7 linked regions of the Ovis aries genome follow. The protein of the gene in region 2 interacts with the protein of the main gene of each other region in a biochemical or structural test. Links are inferred from orthologs where the notes say so. Each region holds a gene or a part of one and is shown on either strand. Other genes may lie near its edges.

Region 1 (3,500 bases), on a different chromosome or scaffold from region 2:
GAGGGGAGGGAGGTGGCCCCCCAGAAAGGCTCACTGTGTCTCCGCATGAGGCTGCTGCACAGAATGGGACCTGGGCGCCTGGTACAGAAAATATCCTGTCAACCCCACTTCATAACTGAATCCATCAGAAAAGCCGTTATTCTGTCCCTGGTTATTACCTTTTCCTTTGGCTATATCTTTCAGGGTAAGAAAAAGAAGAGGAAGCGAGAAAAGCAGCTGTCCCAGACACAGTCCCAGCAGCAGCAAGTCCAGGAGGCAGATGGTGAGTCTTCAGGAGGGAACTGCGTCTTTACTTTTTCCCACTGTGTCAGCTACGCCTGCCAGCACCCTGTGCATGGCTCTCTGATGGACACCATGTCAACGCTGTGTTTTAATATTAATAGCTGCCATTTTCAAGGCCTCTGCCTCATGTACACTTGTGCATGCGTGCTAAGTCACTTCCATCATGTCCGACTCTTTGCGACCCTATGGATTGCATCCCACCAGGCCTGTCTGTCCATGGGGATTCTCCAGGCAAGAATATTGGAATGGGTTGTCATGCCCTCCACCAGGGGCTCTTCCTGACCCAGGGATTGAACCTGCTGCTCTTATGTCTACATGCATTGGCAGGAGGGTTCTTAACCAGTAGTACCACTTGGGTATACTCAGGTGGGTGTTATTATTACCCCCCTTCTGGAGATGATCAGTTTAGAGGCTCAGAGAAGTGAAAGGATTTTCCTGGTCATGCTGCTTGGTAAATGGAGGGAGGGTTTGGTCCAGCGCTTTGTCACTCAAAAGGTGCTCTTCAATTCAGTTGAGTTTCATCTTATTGAGGGTTAGGTTCTAAAATCAATGCAGTAAAAGTAAAAACTGAATGTTGTTGAAATGAGCCTTGAAATTCCCTTAGGAACCCAGCCCCTTAGAGACTGGCATACCACCTTTCAGTGAATCCAGTAGATTGCGGTTTTCCTTCAATGTTTGGTTGGCCGAATATCAGAAACAATCATTTGCTTGGATTAGGAAGGCCCTTTTGTGCCACAAATATCTTTTTACATCAGAATCTCACCCAGCACAGACTAGCCCCTTCCTTGGCCAGTATTTCAGTCACACCTCCCATCTCACGCTCATTCCAGCACAAGGGTAGAACTAGTTTAGTTCCATCTAAAGGGCTTCACAGGTGGCGAAGAATCCTTCTGCAATGCAGGAGACCTGGGTTCAATCCCTGGGTAGGGAAGATCCCTGGAGAAGGGAATGGCAACCCACTCCAGTATTCTTGCCTGGAGAATCCCATGGACAGAGGAGCCTGGTGAGCTACAGTCCATAGGGTTGTGAACAGTGAGACGTGACTGAGCAGCTAACACAGACACACACACAAAGTGCTTTTTATCGCCTTTCCTTTCACTTCCTTTCCTAGCTTTCTAATATCTCTATAATTTATTTATCTCCATAGGAGTACACATAAATTAACTATGTATATGACGCAAAATCTGTTGAATTGGTGCGTGGCAGGCGCTGTACTATCTCTAGGAGGATCATAAACCAAAGATTTTAAAGAAACTGAATGGAGATCCATCCCCCAAATGATAAGATTTAGGCAGGAAGATGATAATTTGCTAGAGAAGGAAATGGCAACCCACTCCATTATTTTTGCGGGGAGAATTCCAGGGACAGAAAAGCCTGACGGGCTACACTCCATAGCGGTGCAAGGAGGCAGACATCACTGAGCACAGCACAGCACGATAATTTGATAAGCTCAGCTATTTTACCTCCAGGCAGATACTGAACGGGGTCTCTGGCATTTTGGTATTGGCCCTTTTCTGTGCTCTAGGTGTACTGAAAGTCTTAGGCGTCATTTCAGGGCCTCACGTCCCTCCCTCTACGCATGCTTGTTTCCCGGGTCTTATGTACTACTTCCGCCTTTCCCAGCGTTCCTAGCGGCTGACTTTCTTGTTTGTGTCCCCCCACCCCCACCCCCGCAGGTGCTCTGGCCTCCAAAAGCAAGAAGCCATGTGTCCAGTACCTGCCCCCCGAGAAGCCCTGTGACAGCCCAGCTTCCTCCCACGGCAGCATGCTGGACTCCCCAGCTACCCCCTCCGCGGCCTTGGCCTCCCCGGCCGCCCCAGCCGCCACCCACTCGGAGCAAGCCCAGCCCCTCTCCCTCACCACCAAGCCAGAGACCCGGGCCCAGCTGGCTCTCCACTCAGCCGCCTTCCTGTCATCAAAGGCTGCCGCCACCTCTTCTGGCCAGATGGGCAGCCAGCCCCCGCTCCTGTCCCGGCCCCTCCCTTTGGGGTCTGTGCCCACAGCTCTGCTGACGTCCCCCCCATCCTTCCCCGCCACGCTCCACGCCCACCAGGCCCTCCCCGTGCTCCAGGCCCAGCCTCTGTCCTTGGTCACCAAGTCTGCCCACTAAGCTGCCCCCCTTGACCTATGCAGGCTGTCACGTGACTCATCGAGTAGTAAGGATGCAGAAGGAAAAAAAAAAGGAAACTTTATTGGTCAATATTTGACCACTCTGGACTGTTCTGTAAAGTGACTGGTAACAGCAGCACTTTACGGTTTGTAGATGTAACCAGTAGCTGATCTTAAGTCTTTTTTTAAAAAACAAACAAACAAAAATCTTTAAAAAAAAAAAAAAAGGAAAACGAGAACTGAAAAGTAGTGTGTTATTCTTCCTGTGTGTGCAGTGGTGGATGGACCTGGGCAGAAGGCACCCCACTCTCTACCTCCTGGACTCTCTGCCCTCCCTCCTCTTCCCATCCTCTCACACATCCAGCCCCCACCCCCTGCTTCCTGGCTCCCCTCATTCCAGCTTACACGTTGGCCCTTGTTGCCATTTCTAGCCTCTTCGTCTACAACCCATTCCTTGACATTCCCTTTGACTTAGCCCACGTTTTGCTCCTGTGGGTTCATGCCTTCATCTTCGTCCTCTGCCCAGTGTAAGGCTGTCACCACGTGAGAAACACCTTGGCCTCTTTGTCTCCACCAGCACACTTCTCCCTCAGTGGCCCTAAACCACCCCCACCCCCCAGCCTCCAGCTTTCTGTGGAGGAAGAGGTCCTCTAAAATGGTTCTCCCCTGCATTTAAAGGGACTCAAGGTGCCTGCCACTTCCTCAGCGAAGAAGCCTGTGTTCCATCCCCTTACCAGTCAAGATGTCCCCTCACAGCCCCGGAGTGGCAGACAGGTCTGGCTCCTGTCACCCGGGAATGTGCTAGCACAATCTGCCAAAGCTCTGAGACCCTCCTCCCTCCCCAGTCACCTCACATGCTTCTTCTGTGTGTATTTCTTTTCATTTTTATGGGGTTTTTTTTGAGCAATTTAAACTCCCAGTTGTTTATTTTCACAAAAGAAAATAAAATTGCAGTTGCAAGACTTTGCTGAGTATTTTAGTCCTTTGTTGACTCAAGCCCCTTTCTTCACACCAAAGGCTGTGTAAGATTTTTACAGAATGCAAAAGAGGAATGCCTCTTTTGGAAGGGGATGTAAGTCATGCCTGACAGAACTAGAAAAATCTAATCC
Region 2 (3,500 bases):
ACATCTCTGTTTAACTGTTTGTGTTGGTGTGTACACTGTACTAGGTGATAGGGACATAGCATGCAAGCTGCTTTTAAAGCTTTCATTGTTGGGTGGAAGAGAGACACTGAAATAATAAGCTAATTTATTTAGTTCAAGTTTTAGGAGGAAGTAGAAGGGCTATATGAGAGCATGTAAATGAACCAGACCCTTTTTTGAGGGTTTATGCATATTTCTTGGAGAAAGTGATGGATGAGTTCACAGCTCTTATGGATAAGAAGGGATTGACTAAGGTGAATGAAGGTTAGGGAGAGGAAATGGCATCTGTGACAGTTCTCCTGAGGGAGGGGAGGACCAGGTGAGGTTTGGAAATTCAAGAAATACAGAGAGTAAGGAAGAGAAAGGGTTTGAGATAAGACTGTTGAGATAGGGCAGATCCTGCAGGGCTTAGTGGAACATGTTAAAAGAATAATGGGAAACAGTTCTTAGCAGAAGCATGCAGTGAAAAGATTTGTCTTTGGAAATCGGGGAAAAGTCAGGAGGTGGGGTATGCAGGGAAGGAAAGGTGGGGATAAATATTTAATGCTGTCTCTTTTTTAGGTGGATATGATGAGGAAAGGCCAAGAGCCAAAGCATATATTAGGAGTTTTCATTAATAAGTGCCCATTCTGGTTCAGATTTCCATGCAGCAAATCAGCCGTGACATAACTTTCGTATCTGGGCATTACTGTTCAAACATGGATTTTGGGGTTTTTTTTTCCTTTTACTATGGTCAGTGTGGGAAGAATAATACTGGGCCAGAATTTATATATTTTGGGGAGGACTGAGGTACATGAATGTGAGTGAAATTTTGTAGAAGCAGAGCTTAAATATGACCCCAGTCTGGAGGTCTAGTTAATGATGACCAGGTATACATTTATGTCACTAAGCTGCTGAAATTCTTATATGATAAAATCAGTTGGTAATAAAGGCTTTTCTCGGGCATTTGATCAAGGTTCCATGATTAACAATACATACACATCTTTCTAGCTCATCATTCTGGCTAGTGGTGGACCTCAAGCTCTAGTGAATATAATGAGGACCTACACTTACGAGAAACTACTGTGGACCACAAGCAGAGTGCTGAAGGTGCTGTCTGTGTGCTCTAGTAACAAGCCGGCTATTGTAGAAGCTGGTAAGTGTACTTGGCTATTCTGGGTTCTCATGCGTGCAGCACATGTAGTTCTCATTAGGTTGCCTTTCTTAGGAAAAGGGTGATCAAACTGACCTTCACAGGCTGAAAGTAGACGGTTGTATTCAGTTTGAAGCCAAAGTTGCATTCAGACAAAGGATGTGTTCTGCTTGCCACGTTCTTTGGTGCTGTTCAAGCCTAGTTCAGGCAGAGATCATATTACCAGAAACGATGGCTGATAATAGGCTTGATAACAGCTATTCCAGAAATACCTGAAATGTTTGTTTAAAAAAAAAATACAGATTTTTAGACTGACTTAATCAGAATTCCTGGAGTATTGAAGTGACAAGAGAGTCAGTAATAGTTGGAAATGCCTGGGACTGGAGGCCTAGGAATCTCGATTATAAGAAGTTTCCCATTGGGGAGGGAGGTGGGAGGGGTTTCAGGATGGGGAGCACATGTACACCCATGGCTGATTCATGTCAGTATATGGCGAAAACCACTACAATATTGTAGTTAATTAGCCTCCAATTAAAATAATTAAAAAAAATTTCCGAGGTTATTCTGATGCTCATTTGTTTATTCTGAAAATATTCAGCCCCTGTGTTTCAAGCTGGTATGCAGTGGGCAACAAAATAGGTATGGTCCCCGTATTTATTCTTACAGGCTGGTGAAGGAGACAGAAATCTGCAAGATGATGGGGTGATTACAAATTGGAATGAGTGTCACGAGAGAAATGAACAGCAAATAGTGATGCAGAGTTAATGGGGCGGGAATGCCCTTCTCTCAGAGGGGGATGTTAAATGAAATCACAGAATGAGAGGGCTTCATCTATATGAGAAGTAAGGATTAAGTGCAAGCCAGATGGTCCTAAAGGTAGGAAAGAAATCGTTGCATTCTAGGTGCTGAAGAGGAAGTCTGTGTAACTAGAACCTAGTGAGTAGTGGGATGAATAGCTCAGGGTGAGGGTGATGGGCCAGAGCCAGGCAGGCTGTGTTGTGCCGGACTTTCTAGGTCCCTGGATGATGTTTATTCATACTTTATTGCAGCTTTGGAAACACAGGTGTTGAATGCTTAGGTCAATTTAAGATGAAGTCCAAATCCTAAAGGGTTCCTAAAGGTTATGCTAAAGAATTCAGTCTTTATCTTGTAATGAGAAGTTGTTGTCGGCTACAGCATCACAGTGAGGTGTTTGGAATATTAATATTAGCATCATGTGACAGTTTGACCAGAGGCAAGCAGACCAGGCTGATGGGATGTGTTATAGGCTTTTAGGAATGAAGTCATTTGATATTAAAAATATGTAGCAAAGGATGAATGTTATTTAGGGAGTTGATATCTGTGAAGTGACTAAAAGGTCAGTAGGTAGCTGGAAATGTTTGCTTCTGGAATGCTAGGGAAGACTGGGTAGGGATAGAGATTAGGGAGTTCCTTTCTTAGTGGATGTGGGTAAGGGCTTTGGGAAGTCATTGGGGTGTCTCAAAGCCATCTTCACCCCAGGCATGCTCAATCAGAATGTGTGTGTGTAAGTCTCTGCAGGCTGTTCGGAAAGGCATCTGGAAGTAAAATCCCCTCTCGTAGAGTTGATGGTTCTAGTAGAGGGAGAGAAGGGAGACAGGAACCAAGTCATTGTGAAACTACTGAGCGTCAGCCCTGAGCACTCTGTTAGCAGCTGGAGCTACTAGGAGGAAGGCACCAGATAGGGAGGGTCTGGTCTGAGTGGTGGGCTCCATTATAGCTGTGAAAAGTGCTGTGAAAGAAAAGTACAAGGTGCGTGAGAATTACAGCAAGTTGACCCAATCTAATTGAGGAAATAAAACAGACCTGAAAAGATAAACAAGGAGACAAGGGTATATCCCGCTGCATTTGGGTAAAGAACCTGCCTGCCAATGCAGGAGGCAAGAGACACAGGTTCGATTCCTGAGTGGAGAAGATCCCCTGAAGAAGGAAATGGCAACCTACTCCAGTATTCTTGCCTGGGGAATTCCATAGATAGAGGAGCCTGGTAGGCTACAGTTGATAGGATTGCAAAGAGACACAACTGAAGTGACTTAGCATGCATAGCATTGCATGGCTGACCTAACTTAATTGAGGAAATAAAACAGATCTGAAAAGATAAACAAGGAGACAAGAGAAAGTATATCCCACTGCATTTAGAAGTGAGAAAGAGATGGTGAGGTTAAGCTAGCCAGTGTGTGGGGAATTGAGCTTCCGTTTAGACTCCTCTGCAGTGTAAATGTCCTTCATTAGGGTCCTGAACAAGAGGAGGTTGTGAATCTTTGAAGAGCATCTTTTGCCTTTAATACAGCCCCCGAGAGTAAGCATTCTGGTGCTGTCTTTTTAGACTGTG
Region 3 (3,981 bases), on a different chromosome or scaffold from region 2:
AGGGAGGGACAGCTGCGGACGCTGTCCTGGGCGCTCAGCGGCTTCCACCTCTGACCCAGATGAAGTGTCTATACCCCACCCCTCCCAACCAGGCTAAAACTCTGACTCTGGAGGAAGAACAAAAATGTCCTCCTCCCCCCAAATACACACCAATGCCAGGAAGGGAGCCCCCAAGTCTTCCTTTCGTGAAGGGATCGCCGTCAACTTGGAGGCCTGGGGGTGGGGGGAGGGGCAGCTGTTGGAAAAGGTTGTGCACAGCAGGGCCCAGGGAGGGGTGGGGTGGCGGCTTGTCTGCAGTGCCATGCTGGCCCCTTCACTGGCCCCCAGCGCCCTACAAGTGCCCAGGGCCCCTGGGGACATCAGGGAGGACCCTGGTCTGCCTCAAGCCGTCACAGCCCTTTTCTGGAGACTGCCCTCCTGCACCCCCTCTGGGTGTCTGTACTGACTCAGGGGGGCCCTCCAGGCCAGGTGTGCTGAATGGCGACCCCCTCCCCCGCCCCCACCCCCACCCCGGGCCCTGGGCCCTCTTTCTTCTTGGTCCCCACGTGAGGTCCCTGTTCGCTTTTGTAGCTGCCAGATGTCTGCGTGTTCCTTCTGGGGAGGGGAGCTTCTGGAAGACCCCCACCAGGAATGAGGGCCCAGCCCAGGGCCAGACCCAAGCAAGCCTTCAGCCCACAGACAGATGGCTGCCCACCGGCCAGCCGCCTGCATGCACCCCCCCCCCCCCCCACCCAAGGGGCCTGCGCTAGGCAAAGGGCCTTGGACTGGGTCTGTTAGGCCCACCGTGGCCCCTCGAGCCACCAGCTCCCCAGCTTGGGGCATATTCTAAAAGTCAGACTAACCCACACTCCAGCCCTGCTCCCGCCGGAGGGAGTCAGAAGCAGGCGGCTCAGCCCACGCCGGCCCTGTTAACAGGGTCGAGGCCGGACTGGTCCGAGAAGTGCGGGCTGGCCGGACAAAACTGGGAAACCGAGGCCAGGGAGGCCGCGGCCCGGAGGCAGGCCCCGGGGAGGGGCGGGAGCGGCCGGGCTCCGCCGGCGGCCCGGCCCGGCCCCAGGGACTCCCGCCGCGCGCTCCCGCTCCCCGTGGAGGGGACGCCCCGGGCGGCGGAGGCGGATGTGGGCGGGCGGCCGGGCGGGGCGGGCGCGGGGCGGGGAGAGGGCGGGCCGGCGGGGCCGAGCGCGGCGGGCGGGCGGCCGGCCCAGCGCAGCCGCGCAGCCAGCGCATCCCGAGGAGCGAGCCGGCGGCCGCGCACGAGCTCCGGGCCCGGCGGCGCGCGAGGCCCGCCCGAGCAGCGCCCGCCGCGGCCTCCAGCCCGGCCCCGGCCGGCCGGTCCGCGGGGATGCGGAGCAGCGGGCGCCGGAGGCCGCGGCCCGGCTAGGCCCGCGCTCTCGCCGGACGCGGCGCCCGGTGAGTCCCCGCCCGCCCGCCGCCCGCCGCCGGGGCCCGGATTTCCTCCCCGCGGCCGGGCCGCTTTGTTCGCGGCCGCCCGGGCCGGGGCGCGGGCCGCGCGCGGCCGGAATGGAGGCGCGGGAGCAGGAAGTGGCCGAGAGAGGCCTGGGCGGGGAAGGCGCGGGCCGGGCGGGCGGCGGGGCGGCGGGCCTCCGGCCCCAGCCTCCCGCATGACCTTGGGGAAGCGGCTCCGGCGGGCGAGGCCCGGGCCGGGGCGGAGGGGTGCGGCCGCTCGCCGGGGTCCGTGGCCGGGGGTCCGTGGCGGCCGAGGGCTCCCCGGGCGCCCGGCCAGCGGGGTCCCGGCGCACACTAGGTGCTCGGGGGCCCGGGGAAAAGACTCGACCCGGCTCTCGTTCAAGTTTGTGGGTGGGCCCTTGGAAGGGACTTCATTTTCCCATGGACAAAAAGTTGTCCGTGGTGGCTGGGTGCCTAGGCCCTCCCACAAAGGACTACAGCCTTCCTGGGCCCTGAGACTGGTTCTGGAGCTGGGTGGGTTCGCGAGTGCTGCCCACCCATCCCCGAGGCTGGGGCTCCTGCCCCCGGTTGGGGGGATCCCGGGGCAGCTGGTGAACTTGGTGGGTGGGATTGGGTCCTGGCAGTGCTGGTGGACAGAGCTGGGGTTGTGGGCTTGTGCTCTGGGGCCAGAGATGCCCCCCCGGCGGTCACCCCTGGCCCCCTCCCACCTTGCTCAGGCCACTCCTAGCTGCCCTGGGCCTCTGTTTCAAATGAAGAGTGGGGTGCACTGGTGGGGCTTGGTCCCCTGCCCCCTAGCTGAACATCTAGTGTATAAACTGGTGTTTTGGAGGCCGAGGGAGGGGGCCTTTCGGAGCAGAGATTATTATTTTTTGGAAGGTCGTGACTTGAACAGTCATAGCAGTAACTCACCTTCGTGGTGAAGGCACTCCCAGGACGGAAGCGCAGAAGCAGAGGTCCCCTCGAGCCGCCCGTCCCGAGGGGAGGCAGCCCCGGCCCCGGCGGTGTGCACCTTTCTGCGCACAGGCACACCGCCCTGTGTGTGCGCGCAGACAGATTTTTACACGCGGGGCTCTCCACAGCTGTTTGGCCCTGTCAGCAGCAGACCCATTCAGCCCCGTGGGGGGGGGGGGGCCCACCCGTGCAGAGGTCTTTGAGTCCAGCCCTCTGCCTCCAGGCCACGCCCACTCGAGTGTCACCAGAGCCCCCTGTGCGAGCCAGGCTGGCTCTGAGTCCAGGCCCTGGTGGTCCCTCCTCCAGTCTTCCTTGCCACGCCTGCCTGTGGGCCCGCTGACGGGGGTCAGACACAAAGCAGAGCGTGGGTCCTCCTGCCCTTCTAGGTTTAGCCCAGGATGGACAGTGCACAGTGGCTTTCTCCAGGAGCCCAGGAAGGTGGGCTGTGGGAGATGCGTGCAGGGAGTGTGTGTAGGAAGAGTGTATATGTAGGTATATACCATGTTGGAGATACTTAGGGGTGTCTGCCCAGCTTGAGGGTCCCAGAGAGGAGTCTTTCCAGGCCTACCCTCCTGAGTGCCCAACTGGAAGGGTAGCGGAGGACTGCTTGTGGGGAGAATGCTGTTTCCCAGGATGCTCAGAACCAGTGATGTGGGCAGTGGGTTTTGAGGGGTGCCTAGGAGTTCATCCAACAGGGGAGCAGAGGGGTGGGCCACACAGGATCAATGGCCAAAGGGTCTGCTCACGAGGAGGCTGCTGGTGGGCCTCCGAAGGGCTGGTGCCGGGCCTCCGTGTTTGCACAGTCCCCCCATCCCTGGTTTGTTGCCTGCTGAATGCTGTAATTATGGGTCTGTAACCACCCTGGACTGGGTGCTCCTCGCAGACAGGACTCGTCTGAACCTCTCTTTGTCCCCAGTGCCCAGTGCTGAGCCTGGCAAAACCAGAGATGCCTGGTCCATGTTGGCCGAATGAATGAACTGGTTCAGGCCGGCGGGGCACTGAGGTTTAGGGGGGGGCCTGGGGTTTCTCTGGGGTGGGTTTGTGAGGGGTCGTGTGTTGCCCTGGAGGGCTCCAGTTCGTCTGCAGCAGCCGCCTGCCTGCCTGGCCCTGCCTTCATGCTGGAACTCCTCTGCTTCCCAGTCTGGGACGGAGAGGAGGAGGCCTGGGTCCTTCTCGGGAACGCCCACCTTGGGGCAGGAGCACCATGGACGGGGAGACCTGGGTACCCTCGCCAGGGGACTGCGGAGGCCAGGAGGTGTGGGCCGAAGCAGTCAGGGGGACTGCCTGGAAGAGAGGGCTTCTGCTGGGTTGGCAGGTTAGGGCGGCTGGGATATACCATGCGGGGCCTTTTGGGGACAGGGGTCATTTGTACAGAGGTCGGGGGAGGTGGGAATGGTCAGAGACGGGGACAGTGAGCTCTGAGGGCTTTGGGGTCCGGGAGGGGTGGTGGCGGGGGGGCTTACAGCCTGGGGGCAGGGCAGGCCTGGCCCTGGGAGCCGTGTGAGTGACTTGGGATCTGGAGCCGGGGTGGGAAGGCCATGTGTGGGGAGGCGGCAGCTCTGAAGGCTAAGGGGGACAGGCCACGTGGGAAGATGCGCCTGA
Region 4 (3,500 bases), on a different chromosome or scaffold from region 2:
CAAGAACTCTTCCTAGGACATAGGGTGGCAGTTCTCACAATGTGTTTGGAAAAACTAATCTTGTAAAATGCTTTGAAAAAAGGATACTGTGGTCAGTACATTTTATAAATGCTGCATATAATATTTCATCATTTGCAAAGTCATAACCCACAATAGCGTATTAAAAGCTCTGTGAAGTCCTATAGTAAAGAACTAATAGAAACTAATTCAGCTTAGTATGTTCCCATTTTTTATTGTGGTAAAATGTGCATAACATTTGCATTTAGCTACCTGTAGGTGTACAGTTCTGTGGCATTAAGTACATTCACATTTTGTGCAGCCATCACCACCATTCATCTCCTGCATATTACTATTACCTTTTTTTTTTAAGCACCGAACTCTTCTTTTTTTGTTTTGCTGGACATGTATAAACTTTCCACAGAGCATTCTCTGTGAAAAGTGAGGAAGGCCTTCAGAGAGTAGCTGAAATATAAACCGAGAGGTTGAAGGATCCTTTAGGATGAAATCTTTTTGAAATAGATAGTTTTCTGCCTTACTCATATGAGAATTTAGGACTTAATGTTGTTCATGGTTGTACCAGATTGACTCCATAGTGATAACGTACACGGGACCTAGCAGCAGCTCAGTATCTGCTCATAACGAGAGGTTGAAGGGAGGGAGGACCCTGGTTAGGTTGGATTGTAGTCTGGCCTCATTCCTCACTCTCTCTCTTTATGTCAGTTATCTTATTTCTTGCTGTCCCCCATTTCAGACCATCCTATAAAAGTTGTGTCTTGCTTCCTGTTCGTGGGCTGCATTATTACTGTTGCCAGAATGTGATGAGGTCCGGCTACTTCCTGTAATGTGCATCAGGTTGGGTTTAATTTCACTTAGAATTGGCTAAATTACTAGTCATAGAGGCAAGTTCTGTTAGGTCTGTTTTCTAGACATGGAAACATACAACCATTGTTAGGAGTTTTTTAATGTCATTTGAAATGCAAAAATTAGGAAATAGTTTTGGAGTTTTTTGTATTAGATTTGGTCATATTAAAACTATTTCTTACTGTTGAGGCAGGGAGCCCTGAATCATTCTCTGCATTCTAGTTATGCTGGAACCTGGGACCCTTTTTAGCTACCTTGACTAAATTCAGAAAGGGGTTGTTGGGGAGACAGTCTTTTTATATTCTAGCAGCATGTATAAGATGGTGTTCTGAAGACATTTGTTACAGGATCAGCCTCAGTAACTTTTTGCTTGTGTGCTTTGGTGTTTGAAGTTCAGTTTAAAAACGTTAGTTTAGTCTCATGGCTTACTTGGCAGAAGCATTGACTCAAGAGAACTGTGGATAAATATGTTTAATTAGTAAAGCTAAAAGAGTTTTGTTTTCCCAAGTTGGCATCTCTTTGATAGCAAGTAAATCTGCACAAGAACCTAATTTATAATCTTCTGTTGATTTTCTATTTTGGCAGGAACTTGATCTCAAAATAGCAATTAAGTCTTGTCGCCTAGAGCTAAGTACCAAAAATAGAGAACGGTGGTGCCATGAAATCCAGATCATGAAGAAGTAAGTGTACTTGATGACTTAAATTTCCCCAGTTTTGCATCCCAGCCAGATGTCATCATAGGGAAGGTGGCTAGGAATCCATTCTTAGGATCTTTTGAGGAACATATTTTTCTCTTTCTCATTAAATTTGTGTGTTTTATTTCAAATAATAACATCACATCATGCTTAAGTAGGTTTTGTTTAAATAGTTATCTAGGTAATGATAGTATAATATTGAAGAAAAACAAAAAGCCCTTCAGGGAACTTGGGGTTTTTTAGAGCATGAGCCACCATTTCCTTGCATGGCCCTGCTGTAAACCTTTCTCTGCTCTAAAAACACAAAATGTCAGTTAGGTATTATCAGACTCAGCTTTCTGAGGGCAGAATCTGTTTCTTTTGGGTATCAGGCAGTGCTTATCTGTTATACTTTATAGTTAAATAGCAATCACTACTTTCATTAAAAAAATATTTTTACTCTCACCTACTTTTGTTAAACATTGTATCTATTGCTTTGTAAAAAATTATCCTTAAGCTTAGTGGGTTAAAACAACAGAAGTTTGGTGTCTCACACTTTCTGTGGTTTAGGAATTTGGGAGTGACTTAGGTGGTTTTGACTTAAGAGATGCCTCCTGAAACATCTCAAAATGTTGACTGGGGCTGCAGTTATCCAAAGGCTTGAGTGGGGCTGGAGTATCCACTCCAAAGCTCATTTAGTGTCTGTTGGTTAGAGGCATCGGTTCCCCACCACATGTGCCTCTCTCTCCATAGGGAAATTTGAATGTCTTCATAACATAGCAGCTAACTTTCCCCAAAGTCAGTGATCTGAGAGAGAGAGAGAGAGCAGGCAGACATATTTTTATGATCTTCCTTCAGAAGCTATGCTCTATCCTTTCCAAATAATTTCTATTTATTAGAAATCAGTCACTAAATACAGCCTCTACTTCAGGGAAAGAGAATTAAGCTTTTGAAGGGAGAAGTGGCTATGTTTTAAAACCTCCACAGGTAGAGTGCTAATAAGGGCTTACCCATGTTCTAGTTGTCACAGCAACCCTGTGTCTCATTACTAAAGAAAAAGTTGAAGCTTATAGAGTCATACAACTGATAGGTAATAGAGTCTGGAGTTGAAATAAGCACTTTCTGACTTCAGTGTTCTCAATGCATTTTAATGGTTCTCAAACTTGGCTGTGTGGCAGAATCACTAGAAAAACTTTTTAACAATACAAATCCTCAGGCTCTACACATGGAAATTCTGTTTCTTTAGGTCCTTGGGCCCTGGGAATCTATTCTAGTTTAGAGACCATTGTGTGATGATGATGGTGATTTGATATATTACTAAGTTTAAAAAAAGATGTTAGGAAACAATATATAATGTGATTCAATATTTATTGAAAAACATGTATTTGTACACAAATTAAAAATTTTTAAACAAGTATCAATTTTTAATTATACAAATGAGAAATTAGAATATTATAAATAAAGTCAGTCTTTCGTCTCACTGCCCCCAATTAACTACTATTTCAAACTGAGTCCCTTTTCACTGGAAACAAATCTTTTATTATAATGCTTTCCCCTTGTTAGGTTGAACCACGCCAATGTTGTAAAGGCCTGTGACGTTCCTGAGGAATTGAATTTTTTGATTAACGATGTGCCTCTTCTAGCAATGGAATATTGTTCTGGAGGAGATCTCCGGAAGGTAGTGTGGATGTTTTGAGATGATGAGATAGTAACATGAACTCTAGCAGTCTTTGAATCCCACTCAGTACAATAATCTAGAGTAAGAGTCAGTAAACTATGGCTTGTTATCTGTTTTTGTGGCTGCTTTCTTAAAATAGTAGCAGAGTTGAGTAGTGGTGCCAGAGATTGCATGACTTGCAAAGCCTAAAGAACTCACTCTCTGGCCCTTTACAGGTAATGTTTGCTGACCCCTGCTTTAGAACATGAATATTTTTGTTGGTGGCAGTGGTGTTTCAGGATGGGACT
Region 5 (3,373 bases), on a different chromosome or scaffold from region 2:
GACTGTTCTGTGAAGCTTTCCACAATTTGATAGTATTGATAACATTCGAATGCACTTATCCTTTGTCAACAGTGATTCTATTTTTGTAAATTTATTGTACATATACATAATCTGGCAAGTGGATAAAAATTTGTATTCATTGTTTGTATTCTCATAATCAAGAGGGGGAAAAATCCACTCTCAAATGTTAAACTTTTAAAATAGTAATCACTTGATTCTTATTTTTATTATGAGAGGAATGCATACTTATTGGAAAAACAAATCAAAGTACAAGTGAAGGTAAATAAGATCCTTCATAATCCTACTATTTACAGATATCTACATTTTGGCTTTGAGTCTTACACATTTTTGTGACTGCCTGTACTTCAAATTAAAGTATTTGTAAATGATTCTTTATAAGAAATGGGATTATATAAGTAATTGGAAACTTATTAATGTAATATATTAGGGTTGTCATTCTGCGTTAATTAACGTATGGTAGACGTGTGTCGTTTCTGGCAGCAGTAGTGGTCTGTGCCATTAATGATGTACTGTTACTCAGCCAGTCCCCTCACTGGGGACCACACACCGTTTCCAGTTTTTCACTTCTGTGGAGAGTGTGATAGAGAATGTGCTGTAAATAAAATTTCGCATGTGCATCATTACTACTTTTAAAGTAGAATTGCTATTTCAAAAAATTAGCCCCCCCCAAGAGCTTTATTTAGGAATATTTAGAAGTGTGGAATTTAAACAGATTTGCTATATGTCATGTGTTGAAAAAATTTAACTTACTCAGCCTCCTCATCAAAAGGTATGTGGTAAACAGTCGTTAGTTTGAGACTGATTTTCCTGTGAGAAAGTTTTAGTCATTAACCAGTGTTCAAGGCTTCTGACTGAGCCAGGCATTCTGTTTGTGGTAAAAAAAAAAAAATTACTGTTTAATTATTAGATATGACCAAGTTAACATGTAACCAATTTTAGTGTTGTCTTTGCAGTATATGCTGATGGTAGCATATGTTTAGATATCCTTCAGAATAGATGGAGTCCAACATACGATGTATCTTCTATCTTAACATCAATTCAGGTAAGCATGTGTTAGAATGCATCTTAATTTTTCAAGATTCTATGGAATATAATTGACTCTTTTAGGATCAATTTAAAGGCCAAGTGAGCAAACTAACACTCCCAACACTAAGGTTACCAGTGGCAAACCTCATACAGAATCCTCAGGATTTTCATACAGCTGATCTGCTTTTTCATTAGTGATCATGTTGGATCAAATCCATGATCATTTTCCTGATAAAGTATAAATTGTTCTCACAGATCAAGTAATTTTGTTTTGTTTCTTTGGGTTTTGGGTGTTTTTCGCTGCATCTTGCAGCCTTGGGGTCCTAGTTCCCCAACCAAAGATAGAACTCGTGCCCCCTGTGGTGCAAGTGCAGAGTTATAACCACTAGACCACCAGGAAATTCCCTCACCGGTCAAGTATTATTCATGCCTAGAAAGCATAGCCAGAGGTGATGGAGAAAGATGAAAAAATCTTGGGGAGAGAGAAAGACAATTGTTTAGTAAAAACATAGGGACCTCAAGAAACTGCAGTGCAGAAAAGCATCATTTTGCCCCATCCGGGAAATGCTGTTTCAAAGGAAAAGAATGTAACTATCCACCAAAGCACTCTGGCAGAATATTTCAGAGTTGACCTTGAATGACAGTTTAGGAGGAAGGTTTGAGGTGGAGTCAAGTTTTAGTTACATGGATTTGAAAGGAGCAGATGTGATATTTTGGTTTGTGGCCTTCAAGTTTTTTCTGTCACACTTCTGTTTTAATTTGAGTCATAAATAGTATTTTCAGTCTTGCTGTTATTAATATATTCCCTTGCTGCTAGGTGTATATGTTTTGTTGATTAAAGGAAATAAGGTATACTACCCAACTTACTGCCAGGAATTTGCAAACCTATCACAATAATAGAGTTTAACTTTGGAAAATGTTAGTTGCTGAGGTATTTTGTAGACATTGTATATTAACCAAATCAAATTGTTTAGTTCCCGTTTAATATCGCAGTATGCTGAATTAATGTTTGTTCTTTTCCAATTTCTTTGAAATTAGAGGTCTTAAGGCAATTGAGAGCTATCTGTTTTGAAAACTGAAGTTTTGTAGCAATAGGAAACTTCTTACTGTCTTTATCAAACTAAAGTGTTTAGGTCTGAAAAATACATGAGACATACTAATTTCTTTCTTCATTAAGTAATTTCTGTTTTCTGTAACTTTTGTGCTCCATATCTGACCCATGTTAATATAAAAAAATAACTCTACATATGTGTTTTTCCTTCTTTCTTTCCTTCTAGTCTCTGCTGGATGAACCGAATCCAAATAGTCCAGCCAATAGTCAGGCAGCACAGCTTTATCAGGAAAACAAACGAGAATATGAGAAAAGAGTTTCGGCCATTGTTGAACAAAGCTGGAATGATTCATAATAGACAACTGGTCTGTTAATCTTTTTCATCATTGTTGTGTATAATTTACCTCTCAGTAGAAAGGCTAACAAATTTTAAGTGCCACAGGTTTTAAGGATTCTGCAGAAAAAAAGTCCTTCAGTTTAGAACCTACAAAAGCTTGTGTATCTTGATTAATGTACTTTTTATTGCATGGTGTGAACTAAGTTATTGCTTACATAAATTTGTAATATATCCTGTTTGTATTTTTTTCCAAGTGTATAATGTTGGTGTGGAGTTTTCATGACAGAATATACACATTTTGTAAATCTGTACTTTTTTCAAATATTGAATGCCTTATTTTTGAATTCTTTAGATTTTTAAATTGGAGAAAAGCACTTAAAGTTTTTTATATATGAATATTACATGTAAAGCTGTTAAAATACATACTTCAGTGCAAGAGACTTTGTCACTTATTTCCTTATCTAAGTAGGAGGGGTTAATAAGTCTCTAGCTCTCTATCAATTGATAGTTTCATTTCCAGTTTCAAAAGAACAGATTTATATTTTATCAAGAAATTCAGATTTGATTCTAAATAACCAATTATAATCTCAAACTGTATTTTGAATGTACCTTTATTAGTTTTAGTTGAGCAATTATAACTGGTTTGATTCTGTCCAGCTCTGTATTTAGGCCACTTATTATTGTTTCTTCATGCACTACTTACTGTTAAACTGCACCCTTTGATTTCACAGTTTGCACCTCCACCATGGGGTATTGGCACCTCTACCTTGAGCAGAGAGCTTATGCAACTTACTTTGCTGCTTGATAACACTTTAAAAGATTTTTGATAATGAAGAAAGTAAAACGATCAACATTTTAAAAAAATCCATGCCCTACAATTAACAATATAAGAATTTGTTGCATTGGTTTGAACAAGGCAGATATTTGGAAGGAATCTT
Region 6 (4,166 bases), on a different chromosome or scaffold from region 2:
AATCATCTAAGGAGTCTGCTAAAATACAGAGTCCAAAATAAAAAGGTAGGGGACAAAAAGATAAAAAGTTGAGTGCAAAGACCAGTCCAGAGGTCCTAAGTCCCTGGACTGGAGCCCAGGACTCTGCATTTTAAACTATCACTCCAGCTGAGAACAAGCTGGTGTCCAGGACCTATGGCACTTTGGAAGTACTGTACTTAAGGGCAGAGACAAAACCTATTTCATCTCTATGATCCCCAAGCTTAGCACGTGGCAGCCATTCAGTGAAAGTCTGACTTGCATTGCTGATATAGAAGTTTAGCGGTCTGGTGGTGGGACTTCCCTGGGGGTCCAGTGGTTAAGACTTCGCCTTCCAATGCAGGGAGTGCAGGTTTGCTCCCTGGTAGGGGAGCTAAGATCCCACATGCCTTGTGGCCAAAAAAACAAAGCATAAACAACAGAAGCAATACTGTAACACATTCAATAAAGACTTTAAAAATGGTCCACATCAAAACAAAAAATAATAATAATCTTTTAGTGGTCTGACGGTCCATTTGAAAATTATCAATTTAAAATAAAACAGTATTATTAATTCTTGGCTATTAGATATTACTAAACAAAGAAATAAATTTCCTTGCTTGAATGCTTAGCATTAAGATGTTTTAAAAGTATATACATTTTGAAATACTTACAGGAGACATGTAATAAGGTGTGCCAACAAATGTTTTCGCAAAACTTGTATCATGGTTTAATATTCTAGCTAGCCCAAAGTCTCCAAGCTTAACGTTCTGCTTGCCATCCAGAAAGACATTGGCTGGTTTCAGATCCCGATGCAGCACAGTGTGGCCGCCATCACTTCGTCTGTGACATTCCTTTAGGGCCAGAGTCAACTGAGCCATCACACGAAGAACAAACTCTTCATCCAAGTATTGTCTGAAATCAAAGCAGTTATGTAGCATGTATCTGCTGAATGAAACCATTACAAAGATGACAGGATGTGAATTATCTAGTTTTCTAAGTATACACATAGGGAAATAAATTATTTGGATATGAAATTCAAGTGTTGACTTACCAGGGATTTTCTAAAGTACTGTGGACCCACTGAACAAACACAAGACGACTCTTCCCCATTACTAAGTACTTTGTCCCTGATCCTAATATAGGATGTTTCCAGAAACAAAACTAGGCCCATTTAAGAGATGAATTTATCTTACCTTTCCTTGGTTCCCTTTGAAATCACACCAGCCAGGTCTCCTCCTTCGCAGCATTCCATGACAATGTACAGGGTCGTGTTGGTCCGGTCAATAATTCTATCATAGTAGCGGACAATGTTTGGATGTTTCAGCTCCCGAAGCAAATTCACTTCAGAAACAAGCATTTGTTTCTCAGTTTCTGTCATGGAGCCATAGTCAAGTTCTTTCCAAACTAATATCTGAAATAAAAATTTCCAAGGTATAAATGAACTCATTATAACTCCAAATTTTTCAAATTAAAAAAAAAAGTTACTTATCTAGTAAACAGATCATACAGTCACTATTTATCTAATTTAGTTTAATGAGCTGAGGACCCCTGAGTTTATTTCCATAACCTTCCCCTAATTTTTAAGCAGTGAATGATGCAACAGAGGGTGACGAGGGAGGTTAGGCCGCCCCCAACCCTCTGCCCTCAATGCCTAGTGGGAGGTTGGCAGAAGGTACTCTAATCAAAGCTGGAGCAAAGGCGATTGAAGTCCCCAACCATTCCAACTAGTCAAAATTTCTAGGGTAAGAGAACTTAGTAAAGACCCTTCCATCTGAGCTAACTTCCTTTCCATTATTTTTCTGTGTGGGTCTACCCACACACCTTGGGAGATATGAATCTAACAATGGGAATAATGAGTTGGTGATGGACAGGGAGGCCTGGCTAGCTGCGATTCATGGAGTCGCAAAGAGTCGGACACGACTGAGCGACTGAACTGAACTGAACTAAATGAATTCTGACTACAAGACATAAAAGTTCTAGGTTCTGATGGTTATGATAGAGAATTACATTTCTCTAAAAACAGCTCAGGAGTCAGCTACCAGTCACCAACAGAAGGCCCATGGCAGGTCAAAGCAGAAAAAAGGAAGAAAATGGAAGAGAATGGAAAAAAGACAGGAGAAGAAGAAATATACATATATATATACATACATTCTACTTGGCACATTTTATTAGTTTTACTTTGGCCACGTGATAAGAGCTGACACTGGAAAAGACTCTGATGCTGGGAAAGACTGAGGGCAGGAGGAGAAGAGGACGACAGAGGACGAGATGGTTGGAAGGCATCACCGACTCAATGGACATGAACTTGGGCAAACTCCGGGAGCTGGTGAAAGACAGGGAAGCCTGGCGTGCTGCAGTCCACAAGGTTGTAGAGTCGGACACGACTGAGCGACAGAACAACAACAACAAAGAATTAAGGCACAGATTCACAAATTTAAAAAAAAAAAAAAAAAAGGATGCGGCTTCCCATCCCTCGAGAGACCCAGGACAGACACAGATCTGGGGGAGAAGGCTGGCTCTTCTGAGCACCCTGCTTTTCAGATGCACACCGCCAGGCTCCCTGCTTCCTCTGGGCGGCCTGGGGGCGGAGGCAGGGACCAGGCCCGCGCTCACCTTGCCGTCGCTCTTCCTGCGGATCTTCTGGCAGCGGCCGTAGGAGCCGGTGCCAATGGTGTACAGCACCTCGTAGTCCTCCACCCGAGTCGGCATGGCGGGGCCCGCGCAGGACGTCTGCGGGCCGTATAGTCTCCTCAGAGCTCCAGCCCCGACGCTCGGCCGCCCTGATCTGCAGCCCCGGTTTAACCGTCGCGGGCCCCGACCTCGCAGCCTATTGGCTCGCGGTGAGGCCGCTTCGCCTCTCTAATTGGTTAAGAAGAACACAACACGCTGGGCATCTTGGGAAAAAGGTATCGCTAGGCAACCGCGTCGGCGTCTGTGTCGACTTCCGCTGCCAACCTCCAGGGAGAAAGGGGCGGAGCTAAAGCCCAAGGTGGGCTGGGGACCGAAAGCTGCAGCGAGTGGGCGGTCCCCGCCACCTTGTGCCTCCTCCGCTGAGGTTGCCGAGGCAACCTAAGTCCAGAGATCTTTCTTCAGTTATTAGCGCACAGCCTCAACCGACTGCCTTCTGACCTTTGCACTGTGACCTCTCACTCTCCGGCACGCGCCCTCCGCTCTCAGATTCCCGCCCCCTGAACCCGGGCGGGGTCATATACTAAATCCTGGGAGAAAAGCTGAGTGCAGAGGTGAAAAGTACCGGCCCTCTGTAAAGGGTGCGCGAGTGAGGCCGACAGTGCTGAGGGATTGTGCCAAGCACTTTACATGTATTGTCTGGTTTGTAATACAGGAATTAGCGTTATTTCCCATGAAGAAACGGAAGGGTAGAAAGGTCACAGTATTTGCTTTAGGTCCAAAAGCGAGGACTCAATGCAAAAACAGTGGATATTTATAGTAATGATTTAAAGTTTTCACATGACTTTAGGGTGCAGCCGTCCTAGAGAGAGTATATTTTTGAACACCAGACGTGTACAAAATCTCTAGGTGGAAAATGGAATATGGAAGTCCTTGATGTTTTGAAATACCCAGAAGAATATGGTGGTTCTATAAGATAGAGATGGGCTTACCTGGTAGCTCGGTGGTAAAACAATGTGCCTGCCAATGCAGGAGATGCGGGTTTGATCCCTGGGTGGGGAAGATCCCCTGGAGAAGGAACTGGCAGCCCACAATATTCTTGTCTGGGAAATCTTAGGGACAGAGGGGCCTGGTGGGCTACAGTCCGTGGGGTCACAAAGGAGTTGGACACAGCTTAGTGACTAAACAACAATGTAAGGCAGAGACAGTCAGGTTTACCTTTAAGACTTAAAATTTGTTGTTGTTGTTAGAAAAGACTACCTTTGCACTCTGAATAGATTATCTGAGGTGCCAGGCACATAAATAATTGAAACACTTTGTTGAATGCAGCCTCTTGGAGTGTGCACAAAAACCAACATTTTCAACTCACCCTGCCAGCTGGAATTGTCCCACTTTTACCTGGGATACTGCACCTGGAGCCTTCTATCTAAGGGGTGGATGGAGGAATTTATACACTACAAGAAGGCTAATACTTTGGCAATGCACAAATAGGTCAATTTTCTTTAAATATCTGTTTAGCATGGGATTAAAAGGAAACT
Region 7 (4,152 bases), about 22 Mb from region 2:
CTTGTCAGGTATTGTTACACTTACTTAAGAAACTCAGGGTCTGAGGGGTCCCAGCGCTTGGTCAAGATCACACGGACACTGGACCGGTGAGAACCTAAACCTCAGAGCCCAGCTCTCAACCGTGACCTCTGCGGCACCCCGTCCTTTCGGAATCCTTTACACTCACCTCCCTTATTTAGCACTTGAAATCTCTCTTGTGACCCAAGATGGATAAATAAGTTATAAATCACTGAGGAAAAGAAAATGTTTAGGAGACTATCGCCCAGGCCGATTGGGGAGTATTTAGGGAGGGTAGCCTTGCCGGTGCAGGATATTCTTTCTGTCCGCAGCCCCCGAGCACGTTCCGAAACCTAGCAGGGACATTAGCTGGCTCTACCCCCGCCCTCGGGCGGTGCCCGAGGCAACAGCAACTCCAGGCTGTGAATTCCGAGAGGTGGCTGCCGCGCCCACGCCCCCGCGGGCGCCAGGACTTGGGTGCAGATCCCAGACCCAGGAGTGATCCTTATCTCCTGGCCCCGGGGCGGGTCCAAAGGCTGCCCAGCTTAGCCAGGAACTTGAGTCCAGGACAGACGCCTGGTTCCAGAGGTCTCTGGCCGCCAGTTTTAAAGAGCTAGACCCTTTTCGGTTGAAGACCCCAAGCCTCTCTTGCTTTTAGGCTTCTTTCCCTCGCCTTATACTTTATCTGCGTCCAGAAAAGTTGGCCCTAAAGTTTAAGGATGCAGATAAGTGTGTGTATACGTGTGTGGGCGTGTGACGGATCCCATTTGGGGGACCACCACGGCCCCCCCTCCCCAGGGTCGCAGAGGCTGGGGCACACCCTACTCAAAGACCAGAACCCGCCCTCACAGTGCAGGTTGGGGGGAAGCCGGGCAGGCGCACTCCTCTGGGTTGGGGTCAGGGTATTAGAGGGAACTGCGGCGGGGGGTGGGCTGGGTGACGGACAGCGTGGCCAGCCACTGGCCGAGGGCGGTAAGGAAGCTTAGGCCGGCGTGTGTGCGTGCGTGTGTGCGTGAGTGTGAGCGCGAGGGTGAGTGTGCGCCTCCCCAACCCCCACCTGTTTGAAATGGTTTTAAAATACCCAAGCAGATTGCCCATGTTTTTAAGTTGCAGTCAGTTGGAGTAAAACACTTCCTCCTCTCCCAGACCCCCGAAGGGGCTATGCAGAGTCGTGAGCACTGAAATAAAAGTAGGAATGAGAAGGGTGTGTGAAGGGGGAGAAAAGTGGCTGATCCTGGAGAAGTCGGACTTAGGACCCAACGGGAAGCACATTGGAATCTCTCACTTCGGGAAGGCGGGGTGGGGCGGGCCGGCCGGCAGGCGGTCGCGGGGCGCATGCGCGCGCGTCTCCTCTTGCCGGCCGCTGCGCTCGGCGGCGCGGAATAGAATGAACTGTAACAAAACAAGCCGAGCCTTTGTATCTGCTTAAAGGGGACGCAGGCACTTCCCTCCTGTCCCCCCCGCCCCCGCTCAGCTACCGCGTCTCCAGGGCTCCCAGCAACTGCCTAGAAGGGCTTCCCTCACCCTCAGAAACTGCCCGCCAGCGAGGAAAGGCGACCCAGGCGGGAGGCAAAGAGGAGACACCGCATTTCTAAGAGGCAAGAAAGAAAGGAAGGAAAAAAAAAAATAATCCAAGCTGCGCAGAGTGGACTCTGGTCCCAGAGAGCACGGTCGGGCGCCGGAACGTGGACCGAGAAGCACCGGAATGCAAACAAAGCTCGCGGGCGCCTGTGCAGGGCTCGCGGGGAAGCCCAGAAAGTTTGTTTTATGATGGCTTGAGTGAGCGAGTGTGTGCAAGGGAGCGAGGCTGCCAAGTTTCTCTCTCCCGCTGCGTTGTTTGTGGGGGGAGATGTCTCTCCCATGAACCAGCAGGGGCTTGGGGGCTTGTGCTGTGGGGGGCACCTGTCTCTCATTTTATCATTATTTTTTTTGGCGGGCGTAGTAGGGGTGTAACTCATCATGTCGAAAGTGATCCAGAAGAAGAACCACTGGACTAGCAGGGTTCACGAATGCACCGTAAAACGGGGACCCCAGGGAGAGCTGGGGGTGACGGTGCTGGGGGGCGCGGAGAACGGAGAGTTTCCGTATGTCGGAGCGGTGACGGCTACCGAAGCGGCGGGGCTTCCCGGCGGCGGCGAGGGCCCTCGGCTGAGCGAGGGCGAGTTGCTACTGGAGGTGCAGGGGATCCGGGTGTCCGGCTTGCCCCGCTATGACGTACTGGGAGTCATCGACAGCTGCAAGGAGGCCGTCACCTTCAAAGCCGTCAGACAAGGTAAGTCGGGCCGCGCCTCCTGGAGGCGCCCCCAGAAAAGAACCGGCCTGAGAAGTCTCCCCCCCGCCCCCCTTCCGATTTCCCGCTTTTCTTCTGCGAACGCGGCGTAGGGGCGATGTTGAGGCCGTGTGCCCAGTGATGGTGAAATACACCAAGTTGTTGAGAGGCTGTGGGTTGCTTGCCCACCTGCGTTGGGAAGAGGGGCTTGGGTTAGCTCGGGGAAGCGCAGAGATTTTTCCCTGGCCCGGTTTGCTAACCTGTTATCTCTGCAACCAAGCGCAGCAGTGGCTTGCCTGCACCGGGAGGAGAGTTGGGGAACTGAGGCAGGGGCAAAGTGGACGCTCTCCTGGCTCCCTGGGCGAGTGTTGCAGCGGGCGCAGCTACTGTGTTCTTTGATCTCTTATTTGTTTTCAGACCTAGAGAATGGGTATGAAGGAGGTGAGGGTCTTTGATTGTTGGACATCCTTAATCAAAAAATCAGCATCACCCCGTGACCGGCCAGGTGGGCTAGGGCATCACCACCTTTCAGTCCTAAAGCTTGCAGCTTGAAGATCTTGCATTCACCCCACAGCTGGATGACGCATGTGTCTCAACCCGTGTGGCCTGGCCCCAGACTTTTGGGTGGCGTGGGGGGAGAGAATAGAGAGGGTATTTCAGCGCCATTCAAGCCCGAGTTTATACTGCCACCAACATCACCACCATCCCCATCACTGCAACCATCGTCATCATCCCTGTGAAGATGATTATAGCTGCTGTTTCTTATTCACTTATTATGTGTCAGGTTCTATGTAAAATGCTTTCCTTGCACTCTTTTGTTCTGATGCACAACAATTCTGAGAGCGAGTGTTTCTTCTAAACCCCCTTATGTTACCGATAAGGAAGCTGGGACTGACATTGTTTCATTTACTGATATTGGTTCAGTTACTTGCCCAAGGTCACACAGATGCCAAGAGTGAGGGTTTGAAAATCCTTGCTGCAGAGCCTTAACCACCAAGGAGGAAGAGGATGAGTGTGGGAGACCTGAGGGGTGCACTTAAGAGAAGGGAGTGGAAGCAAATTCACCTCTGGGAAGCTTGGAGAGGAGTGATATGGCTGCTGGTTGCGGGGAGTCCCTTGCATCTTAGTTTGGTATAGGCTCAGGGCTGTCCCTGAGTAGAGAAGTAGAGAAGGAATGGATTCCCTTAAAGGGGTCCCTTGTATGACCAAGCACCGTGATGCAGGTTCTTCCCTGGTTGAGCCCTGGTGAAAAGTTCACACATGTGCCTGCGTGCTTGAAAGGGCAAGCAGCAGCTGGAGGACTGTGTCAGAGGAAAGGAGGGCTAGGCTGAGCTAGTCCTCTTTTGGAAACAGGCCTGTTCCAGATGAAGTGGAGGAGGGGGACAGGGAGAAGAGACGGGCCTTTTGGTAGCTTTGGGAGCTGAGGGACTGACAGTTATGGAAATCTCCTTCCATTTGTGTCCTCATTATCTGCTTGCACACCTCCTCCAAGAAGCCTTCAGGCACCCTGCCAGGATGAAGAAATCAGCGTTCCTCTGGACTCTCCTAAATGTGTGTCTTGTCAGTTTTCTGCTTATTCTGAACTATGCGTTAGATCCCTTCCCTTCTTTCCATACAAGGTGGTAAGCTCATTGAAAGGAGAGAATATGCCTCATTGACTGCACACCACCTCAGCTTTGCTTAAGGTCCAACACCTTGTCTCACCTGGAAATATGTCTCCCGTTATCTGTAAACTGGCTGTTTTGTATTACATAAACTTATAAAGGGTGCAGAATAGTGCCTGACACATAATAAGTGCTCAGTAAAGACCAGCTATTATTGTTATGTTTCAAGTGAAGTTGGGGCAGTTATTTATTTCTATGTCTAGCTTTTAAGTTTAGCTTTAA

The links.
Region 1: the proteins of CTNNB1 (region 2) and TCF7L1 are reported together in a solved structure, tested with the Homo sapiens proteins (2 studies listed by BioGRID, with this or other methods). The link is inferred for Ovis aries from reciprocal best matches to the Homo sapiens genes CTNNB1 and TCF7L1.
Region 3: of the proteins of CTNNB1 (region 2) and AKT1, one has a biochemical effect on the other in vitro, tested with the Homo sapiens proteins (2 studies listed by BioGRID). The link is inferred for Ovis aries from reciprocal best matches to the Homo sapiens genes CTNNB1 and AKT1.
Region 4: the proteins of CTNNB1 (region 2) and CHUK form a complex in vitro, tested with the Homo sapiens proteins (2 studies listed by BioGRID, with this or other methods). The link is inferred for Ovis aries from reciprocal best matches to the Homo sapiens genes CTNNB1 and CHUK.
Region 5: of the proteins of CTNNB1 (region 2) and UBE2B, one has a biochemical effect on the other in vitro, tested with the Homo sapiens proteins (2 studies listed by BioGRID, with this or other methods). The link is inferred for Ovis aries from reciprocal best matches to the Homo sapiens genes CTNNB1 and UBE2B.
Region 6: the proteins of CTNNB1 (region 2) and NEK2 form a complex in vitro, tested with the Homo sapiens proteins (2 studies listed by BioGRID, with this or other methods). The link is inferred for Ovis aries from reciprocal best matches to the Homo sapiens genes CTNNB1 and NEK2.
Region 7: the proteins of CTNNB1 (region 2) and MAGI1 form a complex in vitro, tested with the Homo sapiens proteins (2 studies listed by BioGRID and IntAct, with this or other methods). The link is inferred for Ovis aries from reciprocal best matches to the Homo sapiens genes CTNNB1 and MAGI1.

What each region holds. Positions count from the first base shown.
Region 1 is NC_056056.1:57,176,871-57,180,370, forward strand, and holds the end of TCF7L1 (transcription factor 7-like 1), read left to right. Parts: intron 1-183; coding exon 184-262; intron 263-1,958; coding exon 1,959-2,392; 3' UTR 2,393-3,354; downstream 3,355-3,500. UniProt on the Homo sapiens protein: Participates in the Wnt signaling pathway. Binds to DNA and acts as a repressor in the absence of CTNNB1, and as an activator in its presence.
Region 2 is NC_056072.1:13,857,380-13,860,879, forward strand, and holds part of CTNNB1 (catenin beta-1), read left to right. Parts: intron 1-1,008; coding exon 1,009-1,153; intron 1,154-3,500. UniProt on the Homo sapiens protein: Key downstream component of the canonical Wnt signaling pathway.
Region 3 is NC_056071.1:66,978,450-66,982,430, reverse strand, and holds the start of AKT1 (RAC-alpha serine/threonine-protein kinase), read left to right. Parts: upstream 1-1,181; 5' UTR 1,182-1,410; intron 1,411-3,981. UniProt on the Homo sapiens protein: AKT1 is one of 3 closely related serine/threonine-protein kinases (AKT1, AKT2 and AKT3) called the AKT kinase, and which regulate many processes including metabolism, proliferation, cell survival, growth and angiogenesis.
Region 4 is NC_056075.1:20,910,791-20,914,290, reverse strand, and holds part of CHUK (inhibitor of nuclear factor kappa-B kinase subunit alpha), read left to right. Parts: intron 1-1,446; coding exon 1,447-1,541; intron 1,542-3,098; coding exon 3,099-3,213; intron 3,214-3,500.
Region 5 is NC_056058.1:43,592,772-43,596,144, forward strand, and holds the end of UBE2B (ubiquitin-conjugating enzyme E2 B), read left to right. Parts: exon of another isoform or gene 1-974; coding exon 975-1,063; exon of another isoform or gene 1,064-2,324; coding exon 2,325-2,453; 3' UTR 2,454-2,873; downstream 2,874-3,373. UniProt on the Homo sapiens protein: E2 ubiquitin-conjugating enzyme that accepts ubiquitin from the ubiquitin-activating enzyme E1 and transfers it to a E3 ubiquitin-protein ligase. In vitro catalyzes 'Lys-11'-, as well as 'Lys-48'- and 'Lys-63'-linked polyubiquitination.
Region 6 is NC_056065.1:71,252,353-71,256,518, reverse strand, and holds the start of NEK2 (serine/threonine-protein kinase Nek2), read right to left. Parts: upstream 2,801-4,166; 5' UTR 2,710-2,800; coding exon 2,614-2,709; intron 1,412-2,613; coding exon 1,194-1,411; intron 913-1,193; coding exon 672-912; intron 1-671. UniProt on the Homo sapiens protein: Protein kinase which is involved in the control of centrosome separation and bipolar spindle formation in mitotic cells and chromatin condensation in meiotic cells.
Region 7 is NC_056072.1:35,499,128-35,503,279, forward strand, and holds the start of MAGI1 (membrane-associated guanylate kinase, WW and PDZ domain-containing protein 1), read left to right. Parts: upstream 1-1,352; 5' UTR 1,353-1,956; coding exon 1,957-2,269; intron 2,270-4,152. UniProt on the Homo sapiens protein: Plays a role in coupling actin fibers to cell junctions in endothelial cells, via its interaction with AMOTL2 and CDH5. May regulate acid-induced ASIC3 currents by modulating its expression at the cell surface.